Linked DNA regions of Nothobranchius furzeri. The protein of the gene in region 2 interacts with the protein of the main gene of each other region in a biochemical or structural test. Links are inferred from orthologs where the notes say so. Each region holds a gene or a part of one and is shown on either strand. Other genes may lie near its edges.

Evidence for each region.
Region 1: of the proteins of atf2 (region 2) and mapk11, one has a biochemical effect on the other in vitro, tested with the Homo sapiens proteins (4 studies listed by BioGRID and IntAct). The link is inferred for Nothobranchius furzeri from reciprocal best matches to the Homo sapiens genes ATF2 and MAPK11.
Region 3: of the proteins of atf2 (region 2) and mapk13, one has a biochemical effect on the other in vitro, tested with the Homo sapiens proteins (2 studies listed by BioGRID and IntAct). The link is inferred for Nothobranchius furzeri from reciprocal best matches to the Homo sapiens genes ATF2 and MAPK13.

Annotation. Positions count from the first base shown.
Region 1 is NC_091741.1:56,926,415-56,930,678, forward strand, and holds the start of mapk11 (mitogen-activated protein kinase 11), read left to right. Parts: upstream 1-1,455; 5' UTR 1,456-1,586; coding exon 1,587-1,699; intron 1,700-4,264. UniProt on the Homo sapiens protein: Serine/threonine kinase which acts as an essential component of the MAP kinase signal transduction pathway.
Region 2 is NC_091754.1:21,236,098-21,239,754, forward strand, and holds part of atf2 (cyclic AMP-dependent transcription factor ATF-2), read right to left. Parts: intron 3,503-3,657; coding exon 3,406-3,502; intron 3,324-3,405; coding exon 3,205-3,323; intron 3,115-3,204; coding exon 2,989-3,114; intron 2,742-2,988; coding exon 2,563-2,741; intron 579-2,562; coding exon 464-578; intron 1-463. UniProt on the Homo sapiens protein: Transcriptional activator which regulates the transcription of various genes, including those involved in anti-apoptosis, cell growth, and DNA damage response.
Region 3 is NC_091755.1:52,218,913-52,222,207, forward strand, and holds the end of mapk13 (mitogen-activated protein kinase 13), read right to left. Parts: intron 3,270-3,295; coding exon 3,190-3,269; intron 3,025-3,189; coding exon 2,946-3,024; intron 2,764-2,945; coding exon 2,590-2,763; intron 1,003-2,589; coding exon 917-1,002; 3' UTR 613-916; downstream 1-612. UniProt on the Homo sapiens protein: Serine/threonine kinase which acts as an essential component of the MAP kinase signal transduction pathway.

The DNA.
Region 1 (4,264 bases), on a different chromosome or scaffold from region 2:
CCAACTGGAAGCTTAAAACAGTAAAAATAATTTTTGTGTGAAAAGAAAGTGTGTGCCTAAATACAAAATGTTTGTATTTATGACACTCCGGAACTGCACTGCTCTGGGTGGCTGCATGTTGGAGTAGCTCTGTTGTTTTGCCTTTTCTTGGGCATTTTTTCTTCTAGTTTCTCAAGAAAAACTGTATTTTTTTTGGACACTTTACTTTTCTGTTTCTGGTGCTGTGAAGCTCGGAGGATTTTTACTGCTATTTTTTAGCTTTTCTCACTTTTTGAGCATTTGTTATGATGCATAACCATGGCAACAAGCTGGTTTACAATCGGGAGCAGCTGATTAACATTGGAAAGGCTGAAATATTACCTCAACTGACGCCACAAATCCCAAATGAGCTAAAACGCAAGAAGTGTGGATGCAGAGCAGGAGCAAAACGGAGACAGAGAAAGAGGAAATTCAAACCATCTCTTCCATTGATCATAATGATCAATGGAAGAGATGGCAATGTGAGATCACTGGCCAACAAGATGGAGGAACTTCAAGCCCTTTCAAGGACTCAGCCAGAGTTTTGGCAGTTCTGGAACCACTGGAGGAGATATTCTCCAGAGAATCAAGAAAATTATGGACAACCCTGAGCATTCTCTTCACAAGACTGTCCGACAACGGAAGAGTGTCTTCAGTCAGAGGCTTCTTCAGTTTCGCTGCAACACTGACCGCTACTGGAGATCCTTCCTGCCAACAGCCATTGTAATATACAATAACTCTTTGATGACTTGATTATTATTATTATTCTGAGCTACTACAGCAATCAATTTCCCTCTGGGATTAATAAAGTATTTTTGAATTGAATTGAATGATTTTAGTAAACCATGTGCCATTTATGTGAATATTTTGCAAAGTAATTTGCCAAAAACTACCTGACAACATTAAATAATAATTAGTTATTTGGTGTCAAGAAAGGGGTGGGATTAAATAAACTGATGCTTCTTCCTATTCCCTTTTGAACATGTGGAAAAAATGAGAAGGAGAAGTTGCTTATGTTGTGTGTATTACTATGTGTATGTACGCATGTTCAAAATAAAATAAAGACAAAAAATAAAAAATATATTGGTCCAAGCACTGAGCCCTGTGGTACTCCACAAGTAACTCTAAAGCTGGGGTATATAATTCCGGTTCTGGTGGGGTGGTATCCAGCATATTTTAGAGGTATTACATTATAATATAATGTAATATAATATAATATAATATAATATAATATAATATAATATAATATAATATGATATGATATAATATAATATAATATGACGAACGCAGTGCCTAATCTATTGTATAACCCCCCCCCCCCACCCCCCCCACCCCCCCACCCACACACACACACACACACACACACACACACACATTTATGAGTGGATGAGGACGTGGGGGTGGGGGGTGCTCTGGAGCAGCGACTGCGGAGGGGAGGAGGGGATTCTCACTGACTGGCCGGTGCGTCGGTACGAGCAGCAGCAGCAGGAGCCGCTCAGGTAGTCGGCGGCGGTCCATCCACAGATATCTGTCCTCCTTTTTTTTAATTTCTGTATCCGGATGTAAAAATGTCCGCCAGACCGGGATTTTATCGGCAGGAGCTGAACAAAACTGTGTGGGAGGTTCCGGAGCGGTACCAGAACCTGACGCCGGTGGGCTCTGGAGCTTACGGCTCGGTGTGGTGAGTGTTTGTGTAGATAAATTTGCGTGATAGTGTGTGTGAGGGAGTGTGCGTGTGTGCAGTGCGGGCGGAGGGGCGAGGCTGCACAGCTACACAAGCAAGCGGTAGCTCCTATAACGCAACAGTCATTGTATGGTGACCAATCCTCATTCTGAGACCGAGCATGGTCTCAGAATGAGGATTGTCTGGTATAAAGTGCGAATTTATTGTTGAATTAAAATTAAAAAATTGTAGTTTTCACTCTCCAAATATTTAACATTCCTACCAACATGTGTCAGTGTAGCTGATGTGATATGAACATTACTATGAAACACACATCATCAGTGAAGGGTTGTTTTGTCCCATCGATGTGTGCTGTTCATGATGGGATTTAAGGAATAAGACAGCGTCACTACTACCGGAATTTCAAAAGCGGAGCCCCCCAAACCTGTCCCCCACTTAACCCAAAAAACACCTGCCTCTTCTGTTCTCTACCTGCATCTTCACATGCATCCAGCAGCATCCTCATTTGTCTGCACAATGATATTTCTACGGCACTAATTCTTCTGCATGAAACTTGCAGTTTCTTGAAAATTAGTAAAATTCCCCATCACCTGGTTGGATGCAGTTGCCATGGTGATGTGTCAAAGTGACCATTGTTTCTGACAGTCAATACTAATTAGGCTATTATCAACCTAGCCAGATGGTTATCCAAGAAAGCAAAGAGGAGTCTGAATTATTTGAAAAATACAAAATTCAGGTTTTTGGAAGTGTTTTGAAACTGACAGAGAGAGCAGCTAAGACAGAAGTGAGTTAAACATCTTTACGCTTATGTTGATTGATGAGACCAGCAGAGTTTAACTTCAAGCTGAAAGACACAAACCTTCAGGCCTGCCTGACCATGCAAAAATTTAGGTAATCATTGTTTTAACCAAAGCTTTGTAAGGGTTAAGGCATCTCTTGTTCAAATCTCCTGTTAGCAAAGAAGTATCTCATTTGAGCTTCTACATTAAAATACCTCCTTTCTTACTTTTACTTTATTTAATCATTTTGTCAATTAAAGCTTTATTCTACTTCAAGGATTGTGTCAGATTAAATTTGAGACCTTTTAGCCACACCTAACAGTTGTATTTTCCTGCATGCTCACTAAGCAGTTTTCTTCCTAACAACTGACTTCCTGTCAGCATGACGTTTGTAAAAATCCAGTCTATTAATGTATGATCTGAACTCTACATTATGATTCGTGCTCTCACTGGAGGTGGAGGGTTACATTTTGCAGCTATAAATACAGCTCAGAGTAGCATCATATTGGAAATATGAGAACCTGAATCATAATTTCTTCAGCAGTTATAATAATTATCAGCATTCAAGAATTTGATCAAATTTTAAAATACAGATTTATGAGGCCTATTATTCTAACTTCAGAATACACTCTTGTTAGGGTTGTTGGAACAGAGCATGTTTGTTGACAGAGATGTTATATTTTCATTAACCCTGTAGAATTCCGAGATGCAAATGACATTAAAACATGTAGTGAAGTGTTAAAAAAATAAAGTTTTTTTCACAGTCCTCTGTGATTATAAGTTAAAATCCCATAGTCATCATCACACACTGGTGAAATTCATCTCTGCATTTGACTCATCCCCATGGAGGGGAGCGGTGAGCTTCAGCCACGCTCGGAAAAAATTTGGTGGTTTAATTCAATTCAATTCAAGTTTATTTATACAGCGCCAAATCACGACAAGAGTCGTCTCAAGGCACTTCACATAATAAAAATTCCAATTCAGGTCAGTTCATTAAGCCAATCAGAAATAATGTTTCCTATATAAGGAACCCAGCAGATTGCATCAAGTCACTAACTGGTGTCAGTGACTATACAGCAATCCTCATACCAAGCAAGCATAAAGCGAAAGTGGAGAGGAAAACTCCCTTTTAACAGGAAGAAACCTCCAGAGAATCCTGGCTCAGTATAAGCAGCCATCCTCCTCGACTCACTGGGGATCGAGAAGACAGAGCACACACACACACACACACACACACACACACACACACACACACACACACACACACACACACACACACACACACACACACACACACACACACACACACACACACACACACACTCACTCACTCACTCACTCACTCACACACACACACACACACACACACACACACACACACACACACACACACACAAGTAATGTGTCTACAGTTATATTGTGATGTCTTAGTAAATATTCTATTTGGTGAAAGATAAACTTTATTGTATTTATCCTAGTGGATCTATAAGTAAATGGATAAACTAGTATTAGCACATCAAAAGTCAAGGAAACCAAAAAGTTATTATCAGGAGAGAGAGAATGTTTAAGTGGTTAGCAGCAGTGTGCTAGTCGATGGCCCCCTCCATGAGGCCACCACAGCTCAGCAGAACGTCGTTGTCGCTTCTTCTGGGGAGAAAAACACTTACAGAGAAAATAAAGTTAACAGCTGAAATTGGACAAAATAGTACAGTTAAAGAGCAGACTGTAGAAGAAAGCAGTAGAGTGTGAGAAGTGGTCAGTGTATCCTCCAGCAGTCTAAGCC
Region 2 (3,657 bases):
CTAATATGAATAAATGTTTATTTATTCAATGTTTCTCTTCTTTAATACGCAATTGAAGTTATGCTATTCATGGATAAAAAATCGTGACAAAATCGAAATCGTGATAAAATATTGGAAAAATTGTGATATTCTATTTTTGCCATATCGCCCAGCCCTAACTCTAATCAGAAATAATCATAATACGCAGATAATGGCAAATTCCTTAAAGAGCCAATCACCTGGAAGTTCTAATAAGGGAAACGGTCCTACTGACTTATTACAACTACGGTAAAGATGGGGATCACAAAATTAGCTACCAAATGAAATATGGCAACAAAATGATCATATCTTTGTTAATGACGCTATAACTTGTTCATTAAATAGGTGTTCTGAAAAAAATTATCTAAAATCTAAATTCTGATCATTGGTCATCAAATTTACTTGTTACTACAGGTCAACAGAACATTTCATACAATATACTTACTGGGATTGTAGCTGGAATATGTACACTTGCGCTTGTAATAGATGCAGGTATAGCGACTGGCATGGTCTGGCCATTAGGGAGCTGTAAAAGCACAGGAAAGGTGCCAGAAATCGGGCTGCAAAAGAGACAAAAGTAAAACAGAAAACTAGTTGAAAAGAAAACGTAGTTATCCTAAAGACAAACAGAAATACTTGTACAGGATCGTTATGTTGTTTTCAGATGACAACTGAACTGATCAAGAGAAAAGCGTAAAAAAATACCCAACTAAAAACAGAATAAATGAAAACATTGGACAACATACAAGTTGAACATGACTGATCAGTGACATCAGTATTGCTCATAATACAGTGTAGTATCAAAGTTAAAAAGCTATTGTAATTTGTGAAATACAACTTTAGTTAAGCTTTTCAAATGTAAATGTACACTAGCGTTATGTAAATATGCAATGTTCAAAATAGCATTTTCTACGGTAGCTAGAAATAGATTGTGACATAATGTTGCAATGCATTGTGGCATTTAGCCCTAGACACGCAAGCGTGTATTTTGCATGGGTGCCTATGGGTCTGAGTCGCATCACTCCTCTCAAAGTGATATTTTTGTCTTCAGAAGATATTTAAACAGGAAGTGACCAAGCACCGCTGTTGGTGGGAGTGCTATTTGGTCTCTAGATAGCCAGATCGGATGTTGGAAGGGAGATTTTTTTATTCGTTTTCCAAATAGAGTAGAAGGAGTCACCGCTCGTCTGGGAGAGGTGCTGGATCAAAAAGTGGAATAAACAAAATAAGAATCTGCACACTTCAATCTGCGATGTAGGAGTTTATTGGTCAAGCTTTCGGTCAGAGACCTTCGGTCAGCACAATTCCTGATGAAGGTCTCTGACCAAAAGCTTGACCAATAAACTCCTACATCGCAGATTGAAGTGTGCGGATTCTTATTTTGTTTATTCGTTTTCCAAACCTAGTTAAGGTCTACGACAACATGAAACAGCTGGAAAGGGAAGCGGGCTGAGCTAAAGACAGACAAAGCAAAGCAGTAGCACTTGCACCCAGTAGCACTACTGGTTGTGTAGCGCACCAGGCTAAAGCCAGAGGTGACAGATCATTTGCTTCTGTGGCCCCCAGACTCGGGAACTCTTTCCCCCTGAGCCTGAGATCAGTGGACTCAGTGGACTCCTTTAAAAAGCAGCTGAAAACTCACCTGTTCAGGCTGGCTTTGATGTGACCTTCATCATCACCCTCTCCTTATTCTGCTCTCCCCACCTATTCCGCCTTCCCCGGGATTCACTGATTTCCCTCTTTCACATTCACGCTCTCCCTCTTTGCATTTTTTAATCACAATTGTCTATTTTTGCTAATTTAAAACATATTTTTAATCATTTTTTAAAAATGTTTTATATTTTAATTTTTTTGTTTTTGTGAAGCACCTCATGATTTTGATCTTGAGAGGTGCTATAGAAAAAATAATTTCTTTCTTTCACTAGCACCCAGTCGCACTTGCACCATGATGTCAACTGTAGAATATGCTATTATACTTAATTAAATGGTTTTGATATTGGTTTCTAAATTCACTGTGTTATTTAAAGCAAAATAAATACAGTCAACAATCCTAAATGCAAATTATAAAAATGCTAAATGTCTGTTTTTCAATTATAACCAAGAAAATCTTGTGTAAATGTGCTGCTTTAATTGTTTTCCAACAAACATACAATTTTATCAATAAGGTGCACTTATAAACAACAGTTTTCTGTGAATATTAGAAAGTAAATAAATTTATAAACAACTGAGGAAGCTAAAAGTGATACTGCTCAATGGTATAAGGTAAATAAATGAGCACTGACAGAAAAAACATAAAAATCCCATTTTTTAAACTCAAAACCGAACACTACATTTTAATGAGCAACACTGATTTCATAGAATATTGTGTGAAACGGGGAAAAAAAAATCCTGAAAACTGCAAATAAATGAAAAAACAAACAAGCGCATGCCCCATGAAATACAAACTCACCACAACAGAAGTGCACAAAACAAGATTTGGAAAAAGACACCATGATCTTGTGAAAAACTATATGTACTTTTTAAATGGACCATTCAGTTACTTACACTATAGGTCTATTAGTGGGTGGGACTTGGGAAATAACAGAGCTAGATGTTGGCGATGGGAGAGCCTGCTGTATTACAACATTAGCCTCTGTGGTGGCTAGAAGTACATTGGGGACTTGGAGGGACGCAGGATGGACTATAGTGGATGTTGGCAGTGAGGCTGGCTGCAAAGATAAATCCTGAAAACATCATACAAGACCTTAGCTGCAGGAGCGTTTCAATGCCATCAGATCACGTAATTATTCACCTAATATGTTGTTGCTACGTCATACATGCCGCAAGGTTAGGAGTAGAAATGATCATTTCTATGGTTAATGTTTCAGCTAGAGAATAAGACAAGTTTAGCTTTAGAAATAAGACCTACAAATGACATCTGTGTAATCACCAACAATAAAACACCAGGCTTGGCTAAAATAAAGCTCTTACCTTGTCATCATTTGTAGTCGACTCAGGGTGGGGCAGAGGACTATTTCTATGTGTCTCTATAGTCGTTGGTTCCTCGATTTTGTTGCGTATGACAGGTGTAGCAAGAGGTGACAAATCCAGGGGTAACTGGCCAAAAATACCCCAGAGATTATCAGAAAAAGAGCAAACTGACAGCTTTCAGATCATCTGAAAACATGTTTCCCAACAAAGACCAACCTTTTTCGTGTCATCTTCAGCTGCTTTTTTGAAGTCATGATCAAAGGGACTTGCGAGTTCAATGAAGAGCCCAACTTCCTCGCAGTTCTTCAAAAAGCGAGTAGGTGTAGGAGTTTGGTCTGCAATGGAGAAAAAAGTTTTAGTCACTAAAATTGATGCTGAAATATAATCAAATGCAATAAATCCAACCTAAATGCTTACCAGCAATAATAATGTTGTCATTTCTTGCTGGGCCAAACTTCAGTGTCATCTCGTGTTTGTGTTTGTGGACTGCCAAGTGATCTTCATTTGTGAATCTCTGCACAAACAATAATAATGATCAAAGGTTTCGCAGCTAAACAATTTACACCTGAAGGCAACAAGTTGTTTCTAAAGAAATGCTAAAAAGTTTTAACACTTAATGCTACTGCTTTGAAAGTGGTTTCAGTGGTTTTTAAGGCAGAAACTTTAGGA
Region 3 (3,295 bases), on a different chromosome or scaffold from region 2:
TGAAAATCTTTTTCAAGTGATGAAATTGTCGTTTAAGCTATCGTTTTGGTTTGCAGGATACATCAAAGAAGTTATACACCTTTTTTAACATAACGATTTTATTTTGATGACGGAAAGCATCACTTCCGCTTAGTGTCAGTTTGTGATTTACCTTGGTTGGTAAAAGTTCAGTTGCCCAGAACCTGCCCCTTTTGACGTCATTAGACAACGATTTTCGCGCGCAGGCGACCTAACGGGAGGTTCATCTCAAATTGTCCTTAGCTCTCATCCTATTGTCATTTAGCTCGGTTCTCCTTCAAGACCCTTATGAGTTAGTCTATTTAAAAATGTACTCTGAAGGATTTTATTAATCTAAAACAACTTATATGAGGATACTCACTCTTGTGCCATCTGTAAAAGCATTTGAACGTTTGATGGCAGCTTGATGCATTAATCCCTCAAGTAAATCATTTGAAAAGTAGTAGCTGCTGGTTGCCTACCTTCTGGGGCCTCTGAAGCAACCATAGACAAAACCAAGTCATGCAAATTATGCTCAGTATTTGCACCACAAGGCTGAGGTTGACTTAATAAGGTACACATGTAAGTTATCATACAAAAACAACACCACACAAATTGTATCACATTGTTTAATTGTAAACCTGTTTTACAGTAAACCCTACAGGAAACCTGTTAGCTTTTAGTGACAAATACTTTGCAACACTGAAAGGGAATGTGTAACAATCTACACTCAGGAAATTATTCCACAATACATAAAAAGAAGAGAGCAGTTTTAAAATAAAGCACAATTCTTAACATTGATTAAAAATCTAAATAAAGCAAAAGTGGAGGAAATAGTGTGGGTGTGGAATAAACAAGGGCACAGTCGCCTGTATGCTGTGAAAGTTGGGCCGCCAGGAAGTGGATTGAATTCATCAGATCAAGGAGTCATAGTCAGAGTGTTTTTCCTCTTGGAGTCTCTCCGTGGGAATGGCACAAAGCTTTTTACCTCTTTGAAACATAACCCTATGGGAAAAGAGCAGAGTTAGGTTACCATGTGTGAAGCATATTTATAGAATATTTTTTCTACCATTTCCTTTTATTAAAGGTAGGGTAGATGATCCTAGAAAAGTCATTCAAGCAAGCTAAATTTTTAAAATACACGCTTCAAATGTTTATCCCCCTTTATTCAGGCTCCCTTGAGCCATGCCTGCAGAATACAGGAGAATACCGGACTCAACGGATACTGTCAAACAACTATAACAAAACATTATCTTTTCTTTTAAACTCATTGTTGGCACATTTTCTGCCATAATTCCTAACGTAACACACCTACTTAATAGCAGTGAAGCCTCTGTTGTTGCTCATGAGTTCTCTAGACTCTGTCTGCACTGAAAGTTGAAGAGAGGGAAGCCTGGCACATTGATCCAGTGAGATGTACTGGGCTTATTACACTATACCACTTCTGCTCAGGCTAAATAAACGTAAAACAATTTAGTATGCTAACTAATATAGCTAGCCGAGATTTGGCTTGACTTGCTGTTCAGCTGCTCCGAACTGAGAATGCACGATTCGTGCACAAAGAGGGATATGTGGAGAGGGAGGGAGAGATGGTCAGAGGGCAATTTGATGGAAGGATAAGGATCCAATCTTTAACAACGAGATGTTCACAATGAGTGGACAAGTTTTTCCAGGATTGTACATTTCAAAGCGATTAAACTATTCTGTTTGTTTGAGTAAACATTTAATTCAATGGTTGCCATCAGTAGGTGAAGAGAATTTCAAGCAATATGACAGGAAATGCTCCATCAAAACACCTCCTCAGGATCTACTGATTTCCCTCTTTCCTATTCACTCTCTCTTTCTTAACATTTTTCTTTTAAATCCCAATTGCCTATTTTTCCTCATTTTATTTTTAAACATCTTCTAAATGCTTTTTTATATTTTTTAATTTTTTTTTGTTTTTGTGAAGCGCCTCGTGATTTTTATCTTGAGAGGTGCTATAGAAATGATACTTTCTTCTTCTTCATCTCCTTCAAAAAACAAAGCAGAAATCTGGAGTTTTTATCTGACAGCACCATCTAAAGGCAGAAAAGTGCATTGCACCTTAAGCCGTTCTCCCCACTTCTGTATTTACGGCCAAAAGCAATGCCTCTTGCTAAAACATGCTGTTTTACAAATATTAGTCTCACATTGTGCTGTTTGTTCATATATAAATATATTTTAAAGAATTACTTGTCCTAAGAAAAGTTGCCAACTCTGTATCATTTTAGGTATTTCCACTCTGTGACTGACATAGTAAGTAGGCAGATGTCTGATGCTATTGGCGAATGCTGCATGGCACCCAGTTCAAAGTGCATGGGGCTCTACAGGACTGGGATGGGCATAGCAATAAATTTTTTTGACATACTGCCTACATTATATCACAATACAGGGTAAGACTATTGCTTTTATAAATTTCTAAGAAATCATACCCAATTCGTGAAAGGGGGGAAACTCTGGATTTCTGATTTAATGTCAATTGTCATTATATTTGATGTTGCATTTAACATATTGAACACATGGACTGTTTTTCTACGAATGTTTGCTCATTTTATATTTTTTCTCACATACGTTTCCACTCATCCAGGGCCAGTGTTGCATTGTCATAGCTGTCATCATAAGGCTTAGGCTCAGGAAAGTCATCGGGGTCCCGTAAGCTGTCAAAGTACGGGTGCTCCAGAGCAAGTTCAGCAGTGGGCCTCTCATCTCCGTCCAGAACCAACATCTTTTCAAGCAGCTCGATGGCTGAAAGTATAACAGAAGATGCAGCCATTAAATCAAGCGTAAAATAAAATCTCAAAACCTAAAGCAATAAAAATTTAATTCATGTGCTCCACAAGGCAGGTTTTTATACCCATTACTAAAAGTAAAGATCACATTTATTAATGCTACAAATTACACTGAGAACAACAAACATATATACCCACCCCTTTCACTGGCTACAGGAAACAATGTTGAGAAGTCTTTTCTTGGGTAACGAGGAAGGGACTTTATATAAGTTTTAGCCTGTTTTGGAGCCAAAAGATAAACAGATTTGAAAATAAATAAAATGAGTTTTAATATATCGATAGGAGACAATGAAACAGTGGACAAAACAAATGAATCTCAAAAGAAGTCGCTTCCAGTGAATAAAAAAGTAGAACTCATTAACTTTGTGAGGACTTATCTGACCTCTTGGCTTTCCAGTTTCTGAATAAACTCTGGTCCAGGTACTCCAGTCACTTTCATGATTTGAGTCAGCTGGTCCATGTCTGGTAGTAAACAAGTAAAGGAAGTT